Oryctolagus cuniculus: one gene and its partners. The protein of the gene in region 3 interacts with the protein of the main gene of each other region in a pairwise test. Links are inferred from orthologs where the notes say so. Each region holds a gene or a part of one and is shown on either strand. Other genes may lie near its edges. The genes, in order: LDLRAD1, FURIN and MARCHF2.

Evidence for each region.
Region 1: the proteins of MARCHF2 (region 3) and LDLRAD1 interact in binary tests that used the Homo sapiens proteins (3 or more experiments, as listed by UniProt). The two-hybrid records come from large-scale screens. The link is inferred for Oryctolagus cuniculus from reciprocal best matches to the Homo sapiens genes MARCHF2 and LDLRAD1.
Region 2: the proteins of MARCHF2 (region 3) and FURIN interact in a protein complementation assay, tested with the Homo sapiens proteins (2 studies listed by BioGRID). The link is inferred for Oryctolagus cuniculus from reciprocal best matches to the Homo sapiens genes MARCHF2 and FURIN.

The regions. Positions count from the first base shown.
Region 1 is NC_091438.1:118,976,142-118,986,573, reverse strand, and holds the start of LDLRAD1 (low-density lipoprotein receptor class A domain-containing protein 1), read right to left. Parts: upstream 5,924-10,432; 5' UTR 4,000-5,923; coding exon 3,979-3,999; intron 3,484-3,978; coding exon 3,429-3,483; intron 878-3,428; coding exon 749-877; intron 1-748.
Region 2 is NC_091443.1:100,383,094-100,386,693, forward strand, and holds the start of FURIN (furin), read right to left. Parts: upstream 2,123-3,600; 5' UTR 1,970-2,122; coding exon 1,793-1,969; intron 1,594-1,792; coding exon 1,495-1,593; intron 1,396-1,494; coding exon 1,300-1,395; intron 1,042-1,299; coding exon 913-1,041; intron 807-912; coding exon 730-806; intron 501-729; coding exon 412-500; intron 31-411; coding exon 1-30. UniProt on the Homo sapiens protein: Ubiquitous endoprotease within constitutive secretory pathways capable of cleavage at the RX(K/R)R consensus motif. Mediates processing of TGFB1, an essential step in TGF-beta-1 activation.
Region 3 is NW_027208201.1:4,470,217-4,480,618, reverse strand, and holds the end of MARCHF2 (E3 ubiquitin-protein ligase MARCHF2), read right to left. Parts: intron 6,410-10,402; coding exon 6,214-6,409; intron 4,828-6,213; coding exon 4,594-4,827; intron 1,312-4,593; coding exon 1,153-1,311; 3' UTR 662-1,152; downstream 1-661. UniProt on the Homo sapiens protein: E3 ubiquitin-protein ligase that may mediate ubiquitination of TFRC and CD86, and promote their subsequent endocytosis and sorting to lysosomes via multivesicular bodies.

The DNA of each region.
Region 1 (10,432 bases), on a different chromosome or scaffold from region 3:
TCCCTGCTGGTCCTCACGCCTCCTCCATCCCCGGGAACTGCTCGCATGCTGTTCCCTGTGCCTGAGTGGCTTGTCCTGACACTCCCTCCACCAACCACTCCCCTCTTTCCCCTCATGCTCAGTGCCCTGTGGCTTCTCCAAGGGCCATCCTGCCTCTGAGACTGGACCAGAGCCGCTGCTCCAGACTCAGCCCTCCCGCTAGCCTGGTCTGAGTGTGCTACTCAGAGGGACGTCATGGCTGGTAGCCACTGGGGCCAGGTTGCTGGAATGTACTGGACATGGCCCTGATCTCTGGGGTGGAGACAGGTGCATAGGTGGATGAGACCTCCCAGGGGGACTGGGGCAAGGTGAGAGCAAGTGTGGGGAGACAAGGCTCCTAATCCAACCTGGGGCTCAAGGAAGGCTTCCTGAAGGAGGACTCCAGGGCAGAGCCTCTCGATAAACTCGCATCACAGGTATGCAAATGGAGGCTCAGAGTCACACACAAGGGGACCTCAGAATACTCGCGGAAAAGTAAAAGATACATTTATTTTGGTGCAAATATTTTTTGAGCTCCATGCATGGTTTTTTCATCATGCACACTTTCCGCGAACTTTCTATAGCGCCCCCGTGTGTTTGTGGGTGTACAGGAGTCTGTCCAAAGTCACTTCGTGGAGAAGTCTGGCGGGCTCAGGACTCCTGCACCTGTGGCCCCTTGGCTCTCCCCTGCTGACACCCCCCCCCCCGCCTCCCGCCGCCGACCCCAGACCTGGCGTGCGTGGCGGGAGTCCAAGGATGATGGCCAGCGCGACGAGGGCGGCGAGAGTGGCCAGCAGGAGCAGCAGAGAGGCCGAGAGGCAGGCTCCCCGGCGCGAGCAGCAGAGGGGGCTGCAGTCTGCTGTGAGGGAGACACAGGCATGGGCACCAGGGCTGGGGTCCTGGGGTCCCCCAGCCCCGCACCTGACCCCTGTCGGCCGCCCCTCCCCCTCGCATGGGCTGGGGCAGGGACACCTTTGCACCGCTCTGTGCCACTGTCCGGAGCCACCCCTCGCCAGGTGCCTGGCCGTGGCCTGGGCCTCTGCTCCACGCCCCAGCCTCCCATCCACCTCCTCAGGACACAGGCAGGGGCAGGCACATGTGGCTCCAACCCCTAAGACAGGGCAGAAACCCCAAGTCCTTCAAGTTACTGATGAAGAACCTGCAGCTCGGCGGGGATGTCCACATCACTGCCTGCGGGGCTGGCACGCGAGTCCCTGTCTGAAGCCACAACCCATGCCCTCTCCACGCGTCTGGCTGCTTGTCCACTTGGGAGCCCGCCAGGCTGCCGGCTGCCTTCCAGCGGGGCTGCGGGGAGTCCCTTCACTTCCGTGTGCCTCAGTTTCCTCAGGTGGGAAGTGGGGCTCACAGGAGCTACCCCGGCATTTGCCGAGAGTCCGTGGTGTGGGAGGGGGTCTGCACGGAGCTGTGGCCCAGGCGCACCTGCCGTGTGCCGAGCTCCATTCTAACCACGGTGGAACAGCAGCGACTGCGGCCGCCTCTGCTCTTGCAGGCCTGTACTTTGCTCCTTGAATTCTCCCTTGCTTGCAAAACAAGGAAAGAAAGCTTCCCTGGGGACCCACTGGGCGCCCTGCTCTGCAGAGAGCACAGAAGTAGCCGTCACTGTGGCCCTTGCCCTTAGGAGCAAGGGGCGGGCACAGATGAGGGAGAGCGTGAGCTACGTCCTGTCCGGGTCTCAGGCCCGCGGACAAGGGGGCAGGAGCAGGTCTCACCGATGCCTGTGACAGCAGAGTCCAGGCCAGAGGCGGGCACACAGTAGGTGCTTTGTAAGTGCTTAGTGCACAGGCTGCCCCAGAGGTCAGGGAGACAAGGGCAGGCCCCCAGTTTGCATCCGCGTGGGTCATTTTCATTCAAACCCCTCCTAGTTCCCCGGAGCTGCCTCCAGGTGGACCCGTGCCCACGTGCTGCCAGCCCCAAGCGCCAGGTGTCAGCGCAGCGAAGAAGCATGGGCCAGGTGCCGGGGTAGGGGGGCTGGGCAGGTTGGGGAGGGCACAGTGAGGGTGTGGAAGGAGGAACGGCCTGTTGGGTGGCATGCAGCCAGGATTGGGGGACGGGGAACAGGAAGTGGCCTGGCGTGGGTGGAGCCCAGGATGGGTGTGCACGGGGAGAGGAGACAGTGGGCGATGCAGACGAATCTCAGTCGGAGCATCTGGCACAGCAGGCTAAGCTGTGTCCGCGAGGCTGCATCCCCTGTGTGCTCCCGGTCACGCCCCGGCTGCCTGGCTTCGGATCCAGCTCCCTGCCTGGGAAAGCAGTGGATACTGACTCAACTGCTTGGGTCTCTGCCACCACGTGGGAGACCGGGATGGAGTTCCCGCTCCGGGCTTTGGTCTGGCCCAGCCCTGGCCATTTACAGGGAAGATCTCCCTCTCTGTCTCTGTCTCTCTGTGCCTTTCAAATGAATACATAGATCTTTAAAGATAAGTTAGTAAAACAGATGATTCCCGCAGCCCGGGTCAGCGGCTCCCGGGTCTGTTGGCAAACACAGGTTCACTCAGGTAACCAGGGAGACGACGTGTCACTGGGCCAGCAGAGGCCGCTCCTCCAATACTTGTGTGGCCTGGCCAGCCGTGTGCAAGGTGTGGTCACAAGAGAGACTCGAGACATTGCACTGCTGAGCTGGACGCCCTCGGTGGCCAAGCCTCTCCCTGGAGCTGGAGCTGGAGCTAGAGGGGAGGGCCTCTGCTCCACACCCACCCCCACCACGAGCCCGCACCTGGAAATCCACAAACACCAGCCTGAAGCAACAAGGGCACTGGGGCGCTACCACCAGAAGGGCCGTGCTGCCCTACCTCGGAATTCGAGACCTGCACCCTCCGGCCCCCAAAGCTCCCTCCCAGCGTTATGACCTTGGCCTGGTTGCCTAACTTCATGGCTTCAGCTGTTCCTGCCCACAACAGGGCCCCCCTCTCAGAGGGGCCCTGAGGGTTGAAAAAGACCCTGTGGTGCCAGGTACACAGTAGGGGCTTGATCCTTTGCGGCTGGCAGCGTCATCTCTCCGGGGCTCTTTCCCCTTGCTGCAACGTGGGCCGAGACGGAACACATGGGAGACACCCCATCAGTGAAGGTACGGAGTGCTGTCCTAGCCACACAGTGAGTCTGCCGTGTTAGCAGGCGCTAAAGAAGCGTGTGATCCTGACTCACATCGTCCCTCAGAGGTAAAGAGAACTGCCCAGGTCACCCACTGCTGCTACCGGTGGGTACTGCGTGCACTGTCAGCACCTGAGCGATAGGCGGCGCTAGTAGGTGCTCAGTAAGTGACTGTGGACCTGGCTGGCCGGGACGCCGGGAGCAGAGGACACCACAGTGGGAGGCAGAGGTCTGGGCTCCCGCAGAGCCCCCAGCCCAGCTTCAGGCAGCCCCCCTGGGCGTGGGGAGTGCCCGCCTTTTACCTTCCCCTCTGGAGAGTGTTTTGGTCCTAGCAGCAGCGTTGCCAGTGCCATCTCCCTGCCAAGAGAACAGAGCAGGGGGTGTACTTGGGTAAGGGAGTCAGCAGCCTCAGGGGTCACGGACAGCTTCAGATGGAATCACTGGACCCTCCCAACGCGGGGTGCTAATCGCCCTAAGTCACCCTGACTGTGTCACAGTTACACACCTGTCCCCCGTGCCCCATGCTGGGAGCGCCATTTCTTCCACTGCCTGCCTGCCACAATCCGCCCCTCAAACCTGCCCAGGCAGCTCCCCAGCGAGGCTTTCCCTGATCTCCTAACATCATCCACTCCCCTGGCCCCTGTGCACCTGCACCCCGGCTTCCTCCCAGTTCATCATTGAACTGTCCAGTTGTGTCACGTGTGGGGCCTGATACCTGGGAGTGAGCCCCTGGGGCAGGGTGGGAGCTGACTCACCTCAGTGGCTGGGGCAGGTGCAGTATTAACCTGGCCCCTTTCCTGCCCTCACCTGAGTTTGCTTCCTGCATCAGGAGCTACGCAGGGCCGCACTTACCTGGGGGAAGACCTTGTTCATGTTTCCAGCTCTCAGCGTCCAGTCTCCAGGGATACAGGGCAGGTTCCCTCCCTTGTCACCAGGGCAGCCTGGAGGAGGGGCCTCGCCCTGGCCACGCCCTCCCAGGCAGAGGAAAGGAGAGCAGGGTCCTGATGCGCCAGGCCTCTCCCCACTCTGCAGTCCAAGAGCAACACGCCAAGGCTGCAATCCTCATTCCCCTCTTACAGACCGCAAGCAGAGCCGAGATTCGGAGAGGGAGACTGGCCCAAGTCACACAGCAGGTGAGAGGGGTGAGACTTAAGCCCAGCGATTTTGCAGGGCCTGCGGTGAGACTGGGAGCCGGCAGCCCTCAGCGTGTGAAGAGGCAGCCAGTCATGGCACAGGTCACTGTGTCAGTGGCCAATAAGAAGGGTCATTTAATTAAATAGATAATTCAGGGCTGGTGCTTTGGCATAGTAGGTAAAGTGGTCGCCTGTGGCATCCCACATGGGCACCGGTTTGAGTCCTGGCTGCTCCACTTCCAGTCCAGCTCTCTGCTATGGCCTGGGAAAGCAGCAGAGGATGACCCAAGTCCTAGGGCTCCTGTACCCACATGGGAGACCCGGAGGAGGCTCCTGGCTTCGGATCACCACAGCTCTGGCTGTGGGGGACATTTGGGGAGTGAACCAGCGGATGGACAGTCTCTCTCTCTCTCACACACACATACTCTGCCTTTCAAGTAAATAAATAAATCTTTTAAAAAGAATATGCATTTCCCACTAAATTATAAAGCAACTGTAATTTTTCATCATTTTCTTTAAAAATGTGGCAGGGGCTTTTCCCATTTGTGGCTGAGATGAAGCTCAACCCTTCTGTGGCTGAAGGAGGCATTGCAATGCAGGAAGGCCGAGTCTCCCCCGTCCGGGAGAGCTGAGACAGAAGCTCAAGGTGTGCTCCACGCCCGTGTGAAAGGAGGCGCAGTGCGAGAGGTGCGAGGACACCGTGAGGGCCGGCAGATGGGCAGCATGGCCCGGGGCTACTGGAAAAAATCTGCCATCCACACTGAACAGGTGCGGCGGGAGAGGCCACAGGCACACCTGTCCTTGTGGCAGTCATCCAACAGGGTGGTTCCTGCTGGCTTGAAACTGGACAAAGACCACAAAAAAGATCCTTTTTTTTTCTTTCTACCCCCTCCGACCTCTGAGTGTCACAGGTCCCAGGGAGCACAGTGTCCTCAGGAGTGGTCAGAGCCCAGCGCTGGACGTCAAACAGGTCCCCAGGTGCAGCCTCTCAGGAACCCGGCCCAGGAGGAAGCCACCCCTCCCCTGCCCTGCGGCACAGAGCCACCAGGAGGCAGCCTCTTTTGTTCTTACCTGGACAGGTGGCAGAGGTGGCCCTGGCGGAATCACCGGGATGGCGCTGGCAGTGGGCGGCCTCTCAGCTTGAAAGCACGCTCTTTGCACAGCACGTAAAAGGATCCTGGAGCGCAAAGCCAGGTCTCACCGAGTCTGACAGGGGAAGGGCAAATGTGAGGAAGCAGCACTCAGGAAGATGCCAGAGTAAAGTAATCTTAGAGACAACTTTCACTTAAAACTGCTAAAACAAAACAAGCACACGAAACGTGGCGGGGCAGGCGTTGGCCTAGTGGTTAGGACACCTGCGTCCCGTCTCAGAGTACCTGGTCTTGAGTCCTAGCTCCACTCCCTTCCAGCTTCCCACTAGTGCCCACCTTGGGAGGCAGCAGGTGGAGGTGGCTCAAGTGCTTAGGTCCTGCCACCCACGTGGGAGACTGGGATGGAGTTCCTGGCTCTTGGTTTCAGCTCAGTCCAGTTTCAGCTGTTACAGGCATTTGGGGAATGAATCAGCAGATGGGAGATCTCTCCTGTCTGTCTCTATGTGTCTCTTTGCCTCTCAAATAAATAAATAAAATTAAAATATGGCAAAGTGCATTCTAGTTTTCTCTGAGACAGTGCTGGGGGTGGGGATGAGGCAGGGGCAGGTTGTTGGCTCTAGTGATCCCTTACTAAAGATTTATTTCGGCCGGCGCCGTGGCTAATCCTCCACCTAGCGGCGCCGGCACACCAGGTTCTAGTCCTGGTCGGGGTGCCGGATTCTGTCCCGGTTGCCCCTCTTCCAGGCCTGCTCTCTGCTGTGGCCCAAGAGTGCAGTGGAGGATGGCCCAAGTCCTAGGGCCCTGCACCCCATGGGAGACCAGGATAAGTACCTGGCTCCTGCCATTGAATCAGCGCAGTGCGCCGCCCGCAGCGCGCCAGCCACAGCGGCCATTGGAGGGTGAACCAACGGCAAAGGAAGACCTTTCTCTCTGTCTCTCTCTCTCACTGTCCACTCTGCCTGTCAAAAATAAAAAAAATTAAAATTAAAAAAAAGATTTATTTTGCTTATTTGAAAGGCAGAGTGACAGAGAAAGAGAGAAAGAGAGAGAGAGTGAGAGAGAGAGAGAGCTTTTCCCTCTGCCAGTTCACTCCCCAAATAGCCACCATGGCTGGGTGGGCCAGGACAAAGCCAGGAGCCAGGAGCTTTTTCCAGGTCTCCTAAGTGAGTGCAGGGGCCCAAATACTTGGGCCATCTTCTGCTGTTTTCCCAGGTGCATCAGCAGGGAGCTGGACTGGAAATGGAGCAGCCAGGACTGGGAACTGCTGTTGGTGCTGCAATGGGATGCCGGCATTGCAGGCGGTGGCCTAACCTGCTGCACCACAGCAGCAGCCTCCCCCCAGCGACCCATCTGTCTACCCACTTGCAGTCTCCCCAGCAGCCTAGCTCCCTGCTAGGAAGACCATCGTCCCAGAAGCGTTTCACTCTGGACCAGAGCCCAGACCAAGGGAGAAGGGGAGGTGTCCTCCTCCAGAAACCAGCCCAGGGGTTCTAGGCTGGGGTCCCCTGGAAGCCTGCCTCTGATGCCCCTAGATTGCTCACCTATGGCCAGCCGTTTCTTTTGCACTGGGAAATAAAACGCCCACTCCCTGGGAACAAGGGTGAGGAGGGCAGACATAGGGGCAGCCCTCAGGAAGCGGGGAGCTACAGAGAAACAGCTGAGCCCCGCACCAGGAAAACGGGGTTTGGTCAGGCCCTGCAGCCGGCTCTCACGTGGGCAAGCAACCCCCCTTCCCGGGCCTCAGTGCCTGCTTCCACTCCCTAGGAGACAGACTAGACGAAGGGTGCGTTTCAACTTAGGGCTCCCAGGAGTCAGACCCTAGGACAGGACTTGAGGGCAAGTGGATTTCACTGGGGCGGAAGCATGCTTAAAACCTTCCAACACCTCTCTGCTGGACTCAGAATCCAGCGCAGGTCTAGTAAAGCCCATTATTACCTGACGCATCTCGCCCCATCTATTACGGTGCTTTTGTAGGCTGTAGCTCAGCTAACTGAACCATGCGCAGTCCTGGACTCGCTGGCCTCAGTCTTTATGCATCCCGTCTCCACTGCCCCAACGCTGCTCCCTACACCCCGCTTGCCTCCGCCTCCAGGTTTAAGCCTGGCTGTTCCTTTCAGAAGTTTAGGCTCCTCCTATGTGCCCATCTTGCCATAGCACTTACCACAGTAGTTGTCCCTCTCATTGGACTCTGAGCAATTGGAGCCTACTTTCCCTCAGGGTTGGCAAGTGGTTGTTGAACAGGTAAACTAGGGTCTCCAGGCAGAAATGGCCTTCGTGTGGTGGTGCAAATAACTAGAAACCTCGAGATCCATGATTCCCAATATATGGTCTTTTTTTTTTTTTTAAAGATGTATTTATTCATTTGAGAGTTACAGAGAGCGGTCTTCCATCTGCTAGTTCACTCCCCAAATGGCAGCAATGGCCAGGCTGAAGCCAGGAGCCAGCTCTATCCGTCTCCCATGTGGGTGCAGGGGCCCAAGCATTTGGGCCACCCTCTGCTGCTTTTCCCAGGCCATTAGCAAGGAGCTGGAACGGAAGTGGAGCAGCCAGGTCTTGAACCCTGGCCCATATGGGATGCCAGCAGCATAGGTGGAGTCTTAATCCACTAAGGCACAGTGCCAGCCCCACAATATGTGGTCTTGATACTTAACGGTCCACAAAAATTACAAAGGAGCTATTTATGGATTAAAAAAATCTTCATAGAAATGACTCATTTATCTAAGTTGAAGGCAAATAACAAATGGTGGATTGTTTCTTTTTGGCTTGAATATGACTCAGAGTAACAAGGTTTTATGTTTATGTGATCAATAGCAGACTGATGCATCACTTGTTTCTGAGACAACACTGAAACCAGATAATCTGGTAACCTTTTTTTTTTTTTTTTTTTTAATTTGAAAGAGTTACAGAGAGAGGTCTTCCATCCACTGGTTCGCTCCCCAAATGGCTGCAATGGCCAGAGCTGAAGCCAGGAGCTTCTTTCGGGTCTCCCACGCGGGTGCAGGGACCTAAGGACTTGGGCCATCCTCTACTTCCTTCCCAGGCCATAGCAGAGAGCTGGATCAGAAGAGGAGCAGCTGGGACTAGAATCAGCACCTATATGGGAGGCTGGCACTGCAGGCTGAGGCTTTAACCTACTGTGCCACAGTGCCAGCCCCAGTAACTTCTGATTTACCAAAAAATTTATCAGATAAAAGGTGCCACACAGTTTTGTTAAAAGATTTGGAACCCAGGCCTAGGATCATTCATCGTGGTAATGACTATTTTCTAATTGTCTGCATGCGTGTCTCTCAGCTGAGGGACCCTGAAGCAAGGACTCCAGGAGTGGGGTAGGTGTGAACCAGAGGCCTGTGGTGTTGAGAACTGGCCTAGTGAAGACTCTCCAGATGTCTCTTCCTGGTGGAAGCAAGGAGCCAATAATTTGGGCCCACCCAAGTCACAACTGCTACTTTAAGGAGTGGCCTGGAGGCTGTTTTATTGTTTTGATTGAATTTTCAAGATCAGAAACATTTTTATGTTGCATACTTATGGGGGTTAATTTTCTTTTTCGTTTTTTGGAAAGTGAAACCCAGGGGCTAGTGCTGTGGTGTAGCAGATTAAGCTGCCACCTACAGTGCCCGCATCCCATATGGGCACAGGTTTGAGTCCCAGCTGCTCCACTTCTAATCCAGCTCCCTGCTAATGTGTCTGGGAAAGTAATGCAAGATGGCCCAAGTACTTGGGCCCCTGCACCCATGTGGGAGACCCGAATGAAGCTCTTAGCTCTGACTTCACCCAGCCCTGGCCACTGTGGCCATTAGGGGAATGATCTAATTCTTTGAATAAATAAATGCTGTGGCCCGGGAGTGCAGTGGAGGATGGCCCAGGTGCTTGGGCCCTGCACCCCATGGGAGACCAGGAAAAGCACCTGGCTCCTGGCTCCTGCCATCGGATCAGCGCGGTGCGCCGGCCGCAGCGCGCCGGCCGCGGCGGCCATTGGAGGGTGAACCAACGGCAAAAGGAAGACCTTTCTCTCTGTCTCTCTCTCTCACTGTCCACTCTGCCTGTCAAAAAAAAAAAAAAAAAAAAAGAATCTTTGAAAAAAAAAAAGTGAAATTTGTCTTTTTGAAAATGTCAGTCTTGGCTGGCACCGAGGCTCACTAGGCTAATCCTCTGCCTATGATGCCAGCACCCCAGGTTCTAGTCCCGGTTGCTCCTCTTCCAGTCCAGCTCTCTGCTGTGGCCCGGGAGGGCAGTAGAGGATGGCCCAAGTGCTTGTGCCCTGCACCCCCAAGGGAGAGCAGGAGGAAGCACCTGACTCCTGGCTTTGGATCAGTGCAACGCGCCAGCTTTAGCAGCCATTTGGGGAGTGAACCAACGGAAGGAAGACCTTTCTCTCTGTCTCTAACTCTGCCCGTCAAAAAAAAAAAAAAAAAAAAGAAAAGAAACTGTCAGTCTGGTTTAGTGATGCTAAACTAAAAGGGAGGAGACAGATATAAGAGTGTCTGCTACTGGGTGTTTCCAATTGTAAGGAACTGTCTTACAAACAAGGGAAATAATTTGGTGAAAATGGATCAATACTTTGAAAAGGAATGAAGGTATCTGTCTCAGGCACATTTTACACGGGAAGCAAAAAGAAACGAGACGGCCAACGCCGCAGTTCACTAGGCTAATCCTCCACCCGTGGCACCGGCATCCCAGGTTCTAGTCCCTGTTGGGGAGCCAGGTACTAGTCCCAGTTGCTCCTCTTCCAGTCCAGCTCTCTGCTATGGCCCAGGAAGGCAGTGGAGGATGGCCTAGGTCCTTGGGCCCTGCAGCCACATGGGAGACCGGGAGGAAGCACCTGGCTCCTGGCTTCGGATTGGCACAGCGCCGGCTGTAGTGGCCATTTGGGGAGTGAACCAACAGAAGGAAGACCTTTCTGACTCTGCCTGTCAAAAAAAAAAAAAAAAAAAGAAAAAGAAACAAGAAAGGAAAGTGGGACACAGGACCGTCGGAGAGTTGGTTCACAGCATAATGACACTGAGTCACAGCAAGATTCTGGTGTTATGTGGAATCATTTTTATGTTTAAATCTGCACAGGTAAAGGAGTGGTAGTTAACAGTT
Region 2 (3,600 bases), on a different chromosome or scaffold from region 3:
CCGTCACCTCGCCATCCAGCATGCGCACCCCTGGCCGCGGAGGGGCGGGAAGAGGGTGCTGCGTGGGTCTGGCTGCCAGGAGCACCCGGGGGACGGCCCGGGAGGGCCGAGGCGGATGCCGGGAAACCTGTCTGCCTCTGCCCCCGGCCACACGACAGGACTACAGGGCGCTTCTGGAGCACGGCCACCGCAGCCTGCCCCCGGAGGACTTGGGGAGACGCCGCTAAGTGTCCACCCTCCCCCCCCACCGCCACCAGCCCCTGTCTAGCTCTGAGTCCCCAAGAGCCCTCTTCAGAGTGTCTTCCAGGTCACAAGTGTCCACCACGGGGAAAGGCAGGCAGGGCCAGATGGGAAGTGGCAGGGAAGGGTCCTACGGGAAGGGTCCGCCCACCTGGCAGAGGCCACACCCACCTCCAATGCGGGCATTATAGGCCACGCCCACACCGCAAACACCGTTGTTAGCCACTGCAGCCACTTCGCCTGCGCACCGCGTGCCGTGCCTGCCAGGGTCAAGAGCACGGTGTAAGTGGGGTAAGCAGGTGCAGCCAGAGGAGCAGGAAGAAACCACACACATAGGGCAGCACCATGACCACCGCCCCGCACGTGTGCACGGCCCCGCCTCTCCACTCCGACCAAACCCGTGGAAAAAGCCTGCAGCCTCTTGGGTGGGGCCCGCCTGCACCCTCGGGGAAAGAGGGGAGGCTGAGGACAGGCGCCTCAGCTTCTTACCTATTATCGTTCATCTGTGTGTACCGGGGCTGGGGGTCAGGGTCCTGGTCATTGACATCGAAACTGGCCCCAGGATCCTGGGAAGCACGAGGCTGTGGTCAGGAGCCCGCTGGCCACACTGGCAATGGGACAGCCCCTGCCCGCCTATCACTGCGCCACCGCCTCCCTCCCCCGCCTCCTCACATAATTGCCTGCCAAATCCGGGTGGTTCTTCTCAATGCCGTCGTCCAGGATGGAGACCACGATGCCGTGCCCCGTGTAGCCCTGGGCCCAGGCCTCCTTCACGTTCAGGTCCCGCTGAGTGACACCAGACTGCAGAGACACCCGCCCCCGGCCGTTAGGGGAGGTGGCTGCTCGGACGAGGGTGGGCTGTCGTGGGTGTCCCTTCATCACCCCCAAATCTCTCCACCACCCCAGGGCGGGGGGCAACCTCCAGGCTCAGCAGGATGGGCTGGGGAGAGACTGCCCGGCAGCAGCAAAGCCAAAGAATCGGACAGAGCCTCGAAGTCGGCCTCACGCTCCCCACGGGAGCTCCCGGACGGAGGAGCGGCACCCACAGAGGCAGCGTACCAGGTACCACTGCTGGGGGAACTTGGGGTCCGTGGGCTCCTGGTACACATCCCGTTTGCTCCGTCGCTTTGCTACCTGCTGCTCCAGCCACTGTACCTGGGTGGGAGGGAAGGAGAGAGAGTACGGGTGGGTGGGGGCGGAGGAAGCGAGAGGGAAGCGGAGGGAGGCGGCAGGAAGCATCAGGGCCACACTCACTTGAGGCTCCCTCTGCAGCCGGCTGTGCCGCAGGCGGTGAGGCGACAGCGACCGCTTTGTCACTGCTCGGTGCCAGAAGTGGTAATAGTCGCCGAAGATCTGCAGGAGAGCAGGGAGACTGAGCTGGGCTTTCCATCTGTCAGTCCCCGGGGAGGCGGGGGACGGGGGTGGACAGCGGCTCAGCAAGAACACACACAGGGGACCAGCAGGGACCTGCTGCTAAAGCCACGGCTCCCGCCCCACTGGCTGCCCGTACGCCCCAGCAAACCGGCCTGACAGTTCCTGGAGGAACACCCACCTGGCCTAGGTTGAGGAATCCATGCTTCCGCGCCACACCGTCAGCCACCGCCAGGCCCCCAGGGATGCGCACGGCCCACGTGTTGGTGAAGACCCTCTGGCTACAGGCATTGGCTGCCAGCAGGACCAGGGCTCCTGCTGTGGCTAGCACCCATAGCAACCAGGGCCTCAGCTCCATGGAGGGGGCAGGTGGCTGGGACCCCGGAGCACCCGTCTCCTCGGCCTGGTCACAAGGCCTCTGCTTCCCCGTGCCTGCTCGCTGCCTGTGGCCCGGGGCTGACTGGTGGGGGCATGGGGCCGAGGTGGGCAGGGCTAGGATGGGAGGAGGGCGGCTGCAGGCTCTGGAAGGAACGAGAGAGGGAAGGGGGGGAAGTCAGCCCCTCCCTGGCATGGAGGGAGGGAAGATGCCCTCCCCACCCCTCGGCTCAGCCCAGGCCTGGAAGGGGCGCTGGAGGAAGGGGGCCAAAAAAGGAGAATGTCCCAGAAGAAGTTTGGACCCGCCCCCTTGTCAGCCGGAAGTAGGGACAGATGGATTCCCCATGGCGCCCCACCCCCAGCAAGTGTGACACTGAGAATGGGACGAAGCACATCAAGGCTCCAGTCACTCAAAATCAGAAATGACAAACGAGTCCTTGCCGTCACCAAGGAAAACGGGACACGCGACCGAGCAGGACGGACACAGCATCTCACCTGGTTTTTAAATACCAGGTGAACGACGCACATTTCTACAGCACCCAAAACAAAATCTGGGGGGGACACACGCTAAAACGTTCACAATGGTCCCTGCGGGATGGCGACTGAAATTCCGAGGACCTGCTACGGTCTTCCCTGTGCATTGTATGCCCTCCACATCCCCCAGGGGCTTTCCATAAAGGAAGAAAACATCGCTGTTTTAAAGTTATTTTAAAGAAACATCATTTGCACAACTCACTGGGGTGCCTGGTTCAACAGAACAGATTCAGCCACCGGGGGGCGTTACTGGCAAAGACCACAGCCCCCGGGAGGGAAGTGCGAGCGACCCTGGCTGGGATGGGGCTTGGGGCCCCCCCAGCTCTGAGTACAGGAGGGTCACAGAAGCTGCACCTCCTGTGGCAACTCAGACGGCGGCCGCTGGCAGAGCCGGGCGCCCAAGCTCTTTCTACTGTTTCCTGGGGAACGCAGGGGCCTGGGGGCCCCCTGACTGCCCCCTTGCGTGCTCCACGCCCACCAGCCTTGCGTAACCCGAGCCCGGGCAGCCAGGGCAAACAGTGGCTGCTGAGCCAGGAGAGCCAAGGTGAGGCTGAATCAATAGTCCGCCTGTTGTTTTCCCTCCTTCGGCAAACAGACGCCGGGACCTCTGTCCACAGGGCCACATAACTGTCCCCAAAAACCAAGCCCCTGGGCTAGGGGAGAGTTGGCTCCCCAGGGTACCACTTCTAAGCAGCTCTGCCGGACAGGCGGGGGAGCTGGGAGAGCAGGCTCGCCAGGGGAACCCCCATCCCACCCCCACCCCCACCCCCCCTTCTCCAAGGGCCTCCCTGGCTGCGGCACTCCCACCCTGCAGGCGGGGGGGGGGGGGGGATGCCACACGCAGTTCCTAGAGTATTTTCAGTTTATACCAAAATAACCTGACAGCTGATGGCAGGAGATATCCACAGCACAGCTCCTCCAGGCACCCACGGGCAGAGTCCACAGGGCTTCCTGGCTGGCCTGGGAGCCACAGCCCTGGGGATGGCTGGTTAAAGCCTGTCTGAGCAAAGACTGGACAGCCCACTGCCCCGGCCCTGGGAGCCACGGGACCCCACACCTCTCAACTAACAGAGGACATGG
Region 3 (10,402 bases):
GAGTGCCTGGGTTTGCATCCTGGCTCTGCTTCCAAATTTAGCTTCTTGCCGGTGCACACCCTGGGAGGCAGCACTTGATGACTCAAATACTTGAGTCCCTGCCACCCACGTGGGAGACCCAAATTGAGTTCCCAGCTCCTGGCTTTGGCCTAACCCAACCCTGACAGTTGCAGGTATTTGGGGAGTAAACCAACAGACAGGAGCTCATGCACTTGCTCTCTCTTGCTCTCTCACTCTCTCAAATAAAATAAAATCATGTACTACGCTTGTGACACCAGCATCTTATATGGGTGCTGGTTTGAGTCCCAGCTGCTCCATTTCCAATCCAGCTCCCTGCTAATGCCTCTGGGAAAGCAGCAGCAGATGACCCAAGTGTTTAGGCCCCTGCACCCACATCGGAGACCCAGAAGAAGCTCTTGGCTCCAGCTTTTGGGGCCATTTGGGGAGTGAAGCAGCAGATGGAAGACCTCTCTATCTTCCTCTCTGCCTTTCAGATAAATAAAATAATATTTAGGAAAATCATGTACTATGGAACCCTGCTACTCGCTTTTCATGTGAAAACTCTGTGTCTTCCCAAGCCTCCCTAACAAATCCCAAGTGAGCATCGCACACTGGTTTAACCTCCGTGCAGTCCCTTAGCTTCAGAAACAAAACCAACCAGTCCATTTTGCCCAGCAAGGGCTCCTTTTATTCGTTCTGGGGGTGGGTTTCTGAAACGCAGTGCAACTTTTTTAAAGTTGAAGGTGCCAGCAAAGCGAGCCTGCCAGGTGCATGGGGAATGCAAGGAGCTTGTCAGAACATTCCAGCCACAAAGGGCACCCTTGACACCACCGGCCACAGCTGCTGGCCCAGCAGACACCCAGTGGGCCAAGGAATGAGATCAGGGTGCTTGTTCTGTGCACAGCTCAGGAGCACATCCATTTGTCCTAGTCGTGTACAACAATATGCAAAAAGAAAAAGAAAAAAGAAAAAAGAAAGACCTGAAAATATATTCACACAGGATCACAGAAGAGGCTCCACTGGGCGTCTGGTGGCCTAAGAAGCATTCCAGCCGTCGGGGAAGGGTCAGGCAGTCTCCGTCCTCCCAGGCGCCTGGGCATGGCTGGTCGCCCCAGCCCCTCGGCAGCAGTAGGGCTCCCGCCAGCCCGACGCTCACACGGGCGTCTCCTCTGCCACCTTCTTCAGGAGTCCGGCTGCCAGCGCCGAATGCTGAGAGCCCTCGGGGCCATCTGCGTCCCGTATCTTCAAGCGCACGTGCTGGTGGGTCCTTCTCCACTCGGAGTAGAGCTGGCAGTGGTAGCGGAAGGAGACCTGCGGGGCAGCACTGCAGTGGGTGGGAAGGCGCGGGCAGGCACGGGGGTCCAAACTAGGGCAGGGCTCCTGCTTCCAGAAGCAGAGCCAGTATGCGGCCGCGTCCTGCACGCACTGAGCCCGCGTACATGCACCGTGAGAGGCCACTCCCCCCACTCCACCACCGCCAACTTGCTCTCTATCTCCTGGTGGGAATGCAGCCATTCGACCTCTTGGCAGGGGTTAACTGTCAGTTCACACCACTGCCTAAACTTGGAAGCCACCAAGATGCCCCTCAGGAGGTAAACAGATAGTGGTACAGCCAGACAATGGAATATTACTCAGCCCTAAAAAAGAAATGGTGTCCGGGGGTGGCATTTGGTGATACTTAAAGACTCTATTTGGGGGGCCAGCGCTGTGGCATAGCAGGTAAAGCTGCCGCCTGCAGTGCCGGCACCCCATATGGGCGCCGGTTCCAGTGCCAGCTGCTCCACTTCTGATACAACTCTCTGCTATGGGAAAGCAGTGGAGGATGGCCCAAGTCCTTGGGCCCCTGCACCTGCATGGGAGACCCAGAAGAAGCTCCTGGCCCTCGGCTTTGGATTGGCACAGCACAGCTCCAGCCATGGCAGCCAATTGGGGAGTGAACCAGCGGATGGAAGACCTCTCTCTCTCTCTCTCTCTATGCCTCTCCTTCTCCCGTGTAACTCTGACTTTCAAATAAATAAATAAATCTTTAAAAAAGACTATTTTGGATGCCCACATCCTGTATCAGAAGGTCCAGATTCAAGTCCAGGCTTCCTTCTGATTCTGACTTCCTGCTAATGCATCTGGGAAAAGCGGCAGAGGATGGCCCAAGTGCTTGGGCCCCTGCCATCTACCTGGGAGACCTGGAAGAAGCTCCTGGCTAAGTGGCTCCATTGCAGCCACTTAGGGAGTGAGCCAGCAGATGGAAGTTCTCTCCCTCTCTAACTTTTGTAACTCTTTCAAATAAATAAATAAATCTTTGGAAAAAAAAAATGATGGAGCCAGTAAAAGACCAGTGGTTGTCAGGGGTTAGGGGAACAAGGGACGAAGAGGTGGAGCACAGAGGATCCCGAGAGCATGGAGCCACTCTGTGTGATGCAGCGATGCTGGACGGGTATCTCACACACTTGCCCAAACCCAGGGGATCCAGCGCCCCAGGATGGAGGAGGAAGTGTAATGGGAGCTGTGGACGCTAGGTAACAATAATCTGTACTTGAAGGCTCACTGCTGTAACAAATGTAACCACTCGGGGGGATGGGGAGAGGTTTGATGGTGGCAGAGGCTGTGACGGCAGGAGACCATCCAGGGGAACTCTCTGCTTTCTACCCAATTTCTCATGAGCCAAATAGAGTGTTCTTTAACAAATAAATAAAGAAAAATAACCTCAGTGGCTCCTATCCCTTGACCAAGCATTCCTAAGAAACAATGACACAGGCAAGCCCCCGAAGACTGTTCATCATGGCCAAAAAAACACAGGGGGAGGTGGGAGTTGGGGAAAATAATACATTGGAAAGAATCCTAGTGTCTATCAGAAAGGATTGGTAAAATAAATATGGACACCCAGACGAATGAATGACTGTTGGGCGGCTGCCTGGTGTTTTGTTTTGTTTTTTCAAATGACACCAGCAAAGTGAAAACAAGCAGGCTGCAAAATAGTACTTGTGGCTCCATCCTCTGTATATTAAAACACACATGCGAAACTTCCCAAGTTATTCTAGAATCCAGGTTTGTGCCAGTTTTGCAAATAAATTCTATTCTAAGTTCTACCTCAAAAAAATAAACACATACACACACACACATGTGCTGTCAGAGGCACTGTCAGATACATTCCCCCAACAGGTGGAAAACAGGGGCACTTTTTCTCTCTGAGCCACAGTTCTAATGCCTACAATGAACCTGGAACAACAAACACCACCCACCTCAGTCACTCTCACTGTCACTGTCATTGTGTGCATCTCTTTCAGCCTCAATTGCTTCCTTTCTCACTCTTTTGGTCGGTCTGTCTGTCTCTCTCTCTCTCTTTCTCGCTGTCATTCAGTTTTCTTTTTTAAAGCTGTATTTATTTACTTGAAAGGCAGAAATAAAGAGAGAGAGAGAGAGAGAGAGAGAGAGAGAGAGAGAGAGAGGTCTTCCATCCGCTGGTTCACTTCCTAAATGGCCTCAATGGCCAGGGCTGGGCCTGGCTAAAGCCAGGAGCCAGGAGCCAGGAGCTTCTTCCAGGTCTCCCACATGGATGCAGGGGTCCAAGGACTTGGTCTATCCTTTGCTGTTTTTCCAGCCATTTGCAGGGAGCTGGATCAGAAAAGGAGCAGCCAGGACTCGACCCGGCACCCATATGGGATGCCAGTGTGGCAGGCGGAGGCTTATCCTTCTCCACCACAGTGCCAGCCCCACTTGGTTTCCTAATCAAAATCTCTCTACCCTCCAAGTCTTTAATCAACCTCTGTGGCTCTTGTTTCTCTTCCTATTTTCAATGTCTTAATCAAAATCTCTCTCCCTCTCTCTCTCTATCTCTCTCTCTCTCTCTCTCTCTCTCACACACACACACACACACACATCTTGCTTGTCACCTCTTCTTTTGGTCTCAGTCTCTCTCTTCTTGCTCTCCTAGTCCATTTCTTTTTTGTTTGTTTGTTTGTCTTGGGTTTTTTGGTTTTTTTTTTTCTAGTCCATTTCTTGGTATCTACCTCTCTCGCTCAATTTCTTTTTTTAAAAAATTTTTCGTTATTATTTTTGAAAGACAAAGAGAGCCCCCATCTGCTGGTTTACTCCCCAGATGCTAAGGTGGGGCTGGGCCAAAGCTGGGAGCCAAGAGCTCAATCCTGGTTTCCCCTGAGGGCAGCAATAACCCAAGTACTGGAGCCACCACTGCTGCCTCCCAGAGTGCACGTGAGCAGGAAGCCGGAGCCAGGAGCCAGAGTCAGGTGCTGAACCCGAGTGCTCCACTGTGGGGTGTGGGCATCTAAAGGGGCATTTTACATGCTGGGCTAAGTATATGCCCTCTAATTTCTTATCTCCCTCCATCTCATCCTTTTCCGGTTTCTTTCTTTCTGTTGCTTTTCCTTCTCTCTGCCTCTCTCTCTTAGTGGACCCTGCACTCAGGACTGGAGATCAGAACCATGTACACTCAGAGCAGAAGGCTGAGGCCTGGCTCAGGGCTTCCCTGCACCAGGGCCAGGCTCAGAACCTGCAGCTTCACAAAACACAGGCTGAGGCCACACGCAAGGGACAGCCACCAAAGTCACTGACCACACCCCCGGCCCGGCGGTGACTCACCAGGGTCCAGAGGACGTAGATGGTGAAGAGGGCGATGGTGAGGGCGATGAGCCCCACGGCCTCCAGCCGGCTATGCAGCCGGAGATGGTCCTGGGCCCCGCGCAGGCATAGCCAGCCCGAGATGGCGGCCAGCGGCGTGATGAACAGGAAGCACACCATGTCGCAGCATAGCGTCCGCTTCTCTGTCCGTGGTCCTGGGTCCTTCAGCCACTGCAGGGAGAGAAGCGCAGCAGGCTACAGGGGAGTGGAAGGGCAGTGCCTCCAGGCCTGGGTCTCCTTCCACCCTTTCCTTCTTCCAAACGCTTACTGAGCCTCGATGAGCCAGGCCCTACTGGGTGCTGGGACATGTGCCCCCCCTTTTACAGGTGAGGCAAACTGAGGCACAGAGGAATTCATCGACACAAATCCACATAGCTAGCACATATTATAGCATCCCTAACATAAAAAGCTGAGGTCCAAAATGCTTCCAGATCTTGAACAAGTGGAAAATGCCACACTGCGGAACTTTGCTTCCTGCACCGTCATGGAAAAAAAAATGTATAAAGTGACTGTCAACCTGTCTATGCCAGAAGGTGTACATGAAACACAGCATCTCATCTTCAGACTTGAATTCCTCCTGACCCCACAACATAGCTCATTCTGTACGTGCAGAGGTTCCAAAATTAAAAAAAAAAAATCCACAAAGCAGATGATGGGCAACGGAAATGAGCCTGGCTCACAGAGTCCTAGTGGATAGGACAGAAAGGGTCCCTGCTCTCTCATGCTGGGGGGCAAAGGAAAAGGGGTGGGGGGTCGGGGAGGGGAAAACAAGCTGGAGGAGGTAATGTCAAGGAGAATGGAATGAGCAGAAAGAGCTGATGAAGAAGGGAGGAGGGAACGGTGCTCCAGGCTGCAGAATAGCAGGTGCAAAGGCCCTGAGGCAGGAGTGGGAGGCCAAGATAAGGTGCAGTAGGCAGGAGGCCCATGCAGTTGGAGAGCAAGGACCAAGTGCAGGGTGGGAAGGGGTGCGGGCAGGGCCTGGGTCTCGCTCCCACAATTCTCCCCAGAGCTGGGCTCCTGGGTGGATCAGAGGCTTACTCAGGGGCCCACGGTCCCCGGGGCTCTTCACTGTGGCCCTGTCTACTATGGGGCAGCATTCCCCAGCCTCAGGGATGGACTCTGCTCCCCATACTTGTCACAAACCAATGACATCCGCCATACAGTTCTGAGTCACCCTAGGCCAGGCTGGGCAGGGAGAAGCCTGGTGCCTCAGGGGCCCAGTGGCCACCTGCGGATGCCCTGTCCCCACCCTGATCATCATACTTGGGCTAAAGTCCAAACTCCAGGTGTGACTGCTCCTACCCCCTTCAGGGGTGCTCTCCTCCTCTCTTTTAACTTGATCATTTGCTCAAAGCCATTCAGGCTTTGTCAAGAACACAGAGCTCTCCCAGACCTCAGGGCCTTTGCACGTGCTGTGTCATCTGCCAGGCTGCCCATCCTCAGCTTCTCTGCATGGCTGGCTCCCATTCACCCCTCAGGTCTCCTACCCAGGCCTTGCCTGACACCTTTCCCCCTGCCCCCTGTACTCCCCCTCGCCCCCCTCCCCTCTGCCCACCCCAACCTTGGGCTCCCCAGGTTTACCTCTGTGAGGGGCCGAGGCCGCTTCTCTACTGCAAATTCCGTGTGGCACAGCTCGCAGTAGCTGGTGTTGGACGAGGAAAGCCACTTCTCCAGGCAGCTCTTGTGCACGGCGCCCAGCGTGCCCGTGCAGCCGCACGGAGACAGTAGGCTCTCCCCATTCGCCCCCTCATGGCAGATCCGGCAGAAGGGACAGTCGCTGGACACAGAGACAGGAGCTGTGAGCCACCATCGGACCTCCCACCTGCACCCGCTCCACTATCCACTGAGTCTCAGGATCTCTGTTACGACCATGTTGCCACTATGTTGCGAACTCCTGCTCACCCTACAATGCCCAGCTCCAAATACCCCAGCCTTTGGGACTCCCACAAGCAGAATGATATGTTCCCTCCCCAGGGCCCCTGCAGCACCCTTCTAGGCCCAGGATGATCATCTCTTATACCTGCCTGCCCAACGTCCTCGTTATCTCTTTCCTGCAAAACCACCTCCAATTGTCCTGTGCAAACCATCCCACTCTTGGCTCAGTGTTCAAGGGCTAGGGCAGAACCGATGACCTCTGACAACCTTGGGCCTGACCAATCAGAGCATCACACACCCCTGATGTCACGGGGACCAACTCAGGAAAAGGCCTGTGGTACAATCAGAACCAACAGGAACTGGGGCTAGCGTTGTAGCGTAGTAGGTTAAACTACTGCCGTGGCAACATCCCATATGAATCCAGCCACACCTGAAGGCCATGCTGGCCGAGAAAACTGTGCTTCCAGGGAGAACTGCTCGCTGGTTCTGCATCTGCAGAAAGCTGCCTCAGGAAAGCCGCCAGCCCCCCGCCCCAGTCTCTGGGGATGTTGAGTCCTTCCTGGGGCAGCTGCAGACGCAGGGGGAGTGGCCGCAGTGGGCTGTGAGGTTATCCAGCACGTGAGTCATTGCTCTCCGAGCATGTCTGCCCAGAAAACAGTTATGCTGGGAACACACAGAGGAGGGCAAGCGGGAGAGCTGTTCTCCAGATAATGTTGGCTTCCTCTCAGAGTTTTCTGTCCCTGTCTGGGACTCTCCTGCTGTAGGGGTGGGGAGGGCCTGGTGACCTCTCTCTGTTTTGTCCTGGCCCTGGGCTGCTAATTTCTCCCATGATGTCAAGAGAGCCATGCCCGGTCTCCTTCTAACCTCAGACCCTGATCCTAACACACATACACAAAAGTTAACAGGAAAGGAATTCCCTGCTCCGGAAACCACTCAGGGAAATGGAGTGACAAGAACCTTGAGGAAGAGCCCTTCTGGAGAGCTCTGCAGGAGCAAATTCAGAGACAGGAAGGGAAAAATTAAAAAAGGCAAAAGCAAGGCCTAATATTTATTGAGCATTTACTGTGTACTGGGCACTTAGGAGCCACCTTTGGATGCACTGGTTCCTAGAATGGGACCTCAGAAAAGTCACAGAACAATGGAATTAGAAGATAAGTTTAGGGCGATGTTGTGGTGCAAGGGGATTAAACCATTGCCTGAGATGCTGGCATCCCATATGAATGCTGGTTTGAGTCCCGGCTGTTCCACTTCCCATCCAGCCCCTGGCTAATGCCTCTGGGAAAGCAGTGGAAGATGGCCCAAGTCCTTGGGCCCCTGCATCCATGTGGGAGACCCAGATGCAGTCCCTGGCTCCTGGCTTTGGCCTGGCCCAGCATTGGCCGTTGCAGCCATCTGGGGAGTGGACCAGTGGATGGAAGATCTCTCTCTCTCTCTCTCTCTCTCTCTCTCTCTCTCTCTCTCTCTTTCTGTCTCTCCTTCTCTCTCTGGCACTCTGCCATTCAAACACATAAAATAAATCTCTTTTGTAAAGATAATTTTGGAGGTATTGGATGCAGCAGTTAAGCCACTGTTTGGGATGACCACATCCGCTGGCAGAGCGCCTGGTTTGAGTCTGGACTCCAGCTTCCTGCTAACATACATCCTGGGAGGCGGCAGGTAATGGCTCAAGCAGCTGGGTCCCTGCCAGCCACGTGGGAGATTTCAGAAGGAGTTGCTGGCTCCTGGCTTTGGCGTGACCCAGCCATGGCTGTTGTAAGCATTTGGGGAGTAAACAGTTAGGTAGCAAAATAGACTTCAGCCTATGTGTGTGAGAGGGGCCGGAGGACAAAAATAGGAATTTTTGTGTGGTCAGGCGAGGGAAGAAACGTAGGAGCAGCCTTGGGAGTGGACTGGCAGCTGCACCTCGGCAGTCTTCCCTTGGTCAGAACCCCCTTAGGTGGGTCCCAGCCCTCCCCTGGGGGCCTGTGCCATCCCAGAACACTGTGCTGATGAAGTCCCAAAAGGAACTGCACGCATCTACACCCAGGAAGCCCTCCAACCAGCAGCATCCCAGAAGGAGGCGGGGGGGGGGGGGGAGGAAACCTGTGCACCCAAACCTCTCTCTCTAGCTCAGTTCTTTGCTGAGATGCCCCTGGTCACTTACTACTCCTCTCTGTCTCACGTCTGAAATTCTGTTTTTTTGTTTGTTTGTTTGTTTTCTTTTTTTTTAACATTGATTTATGTATCTGAAAGTCAAGAGTCACAGAGAGAGACATATCTTCCATCCACTGGTTCACTCCCCAAATGGTCACAAGCCAGGAACTAAAATCTTCCTCTGGGTCTCCCACGTGGGTACAGGGCCCAAGCACTTGGGCCATCATCCGCTGCCCTCCCAGGCCATTAGCAGGGAGCTGGAGCAGAAATAGAGTGGTCAAGACACGCGCTGGCGCCCATAAGGGATGTTGATGTTGAAGTGGCAGCCTCACTAGCTATGCCATAACACTGACCCCTGAAATTCTTTTCTCGGACAATAGAAGAGCTCTCGCCATCTGTCTCTATCGCTCTGCCTTTCGAGTAGATAAAAATAAATATTTAAAAGATATGTTTATTTTGATGCAGAAAATTTTGAAATCTATGCATGGATTTTTTTGTAATATTTATTTTTCCATGGACCTTTTGAAGACCTCCTATTCATTTGCTCCCATTTAACAGGTGATGAAGCTGAAGTCCTGGGGAGGGACTTTCTGGGGCTGTGACCCAGAAAGTCTGCCCCCCAGGGCCTGAGCACCCCAGCAGGCAAAGCACACGAACAATGTGTATTGCTCAGGAGCTCAGGCTGGGGCCACAGTGCAAGGGACATGGGCGGGACATCAGCGCAGAGAGGGTATGGGCAGGATGTGCTCAGACCCTCCCATCCCCGCCCTGCAGGCTGCCCAGAGAATGTTCCAGAAAGAAGAGACAACATGAGCAATCAGAGCTCAGGAAAGAGGACAGCAGGGAGAACACCAGGAAATACTCCGAAAGGGCTGGGCAGAGAGCCAGAGGCTCGGAGTCCCCAGAGGCTGACCCGAGCCTGGGCCTTGGAGGACTGTCCTGCGCCTGGGAGATGCCTCCTGCGCCTTCTTCTTCAACCTCCGCAGCTTTAAGAGCCCCGAATTCTCCACCTAGCACAGTCTCTGCTGTGTGCCCTGAGGAATCAGTCTCCTTTGAGCAAATGGAAGATTTGGGGTGTTTTTTTAATGCTTATTTATTCATTTTTGCTTATTTGAAAGGTAGAGCGACAGAGAGAGATAGAAAGAGAAAGATAACCCATCTGCTGGTTCACTCCCCAAATGCATGCAACAGCCAGTGGCTGGGCCAGGCCAAAGCCAGGACCCAGGAACTCCAACCGTGTCTCCCACATACGTGGGCCATCACTGCTGCCTCCCAGGTACATCAGCAGGGAGCTGGATTGGAAGCAAGACAGGACTCGATCCCAGGCACTCTGATGTGGGATGTGGGATGTGGACTTCCCTACTGGCAGCTTAGCCTGCTGTGCCACAATTCCTGCCCTTGACTCTTATGATAGTGGAACCAGCCAAGGTGCTGGGTACAACTGGTGCCCCTGAGGCCTATTCCTGGGCCTCTCAGATGGCAGAGACTCACTAGGAGTTAGAGGTCAGCCTGTGTGGCCTCTGCCAAACCCAGCTCCTGGCAGTGGTGGGAGGAGCCCTATTTGCCCCTGGGGAGGCTGGAAGGAAGACCCCAACCCCGGAAGTTACCTCCAGATACATGGCAGCATTCACCCCATGCAGAGCTCTTCTGATCTGCCCTCTAGCCTGGGGAGGTTTGGGGCGAGATGTACCCAAAGAAAGGAAAAGAAGCAAGGAGACCCTTGGGCCGCTGAGCTGTGGGCAAAGAGGCTGAGGGACAGACC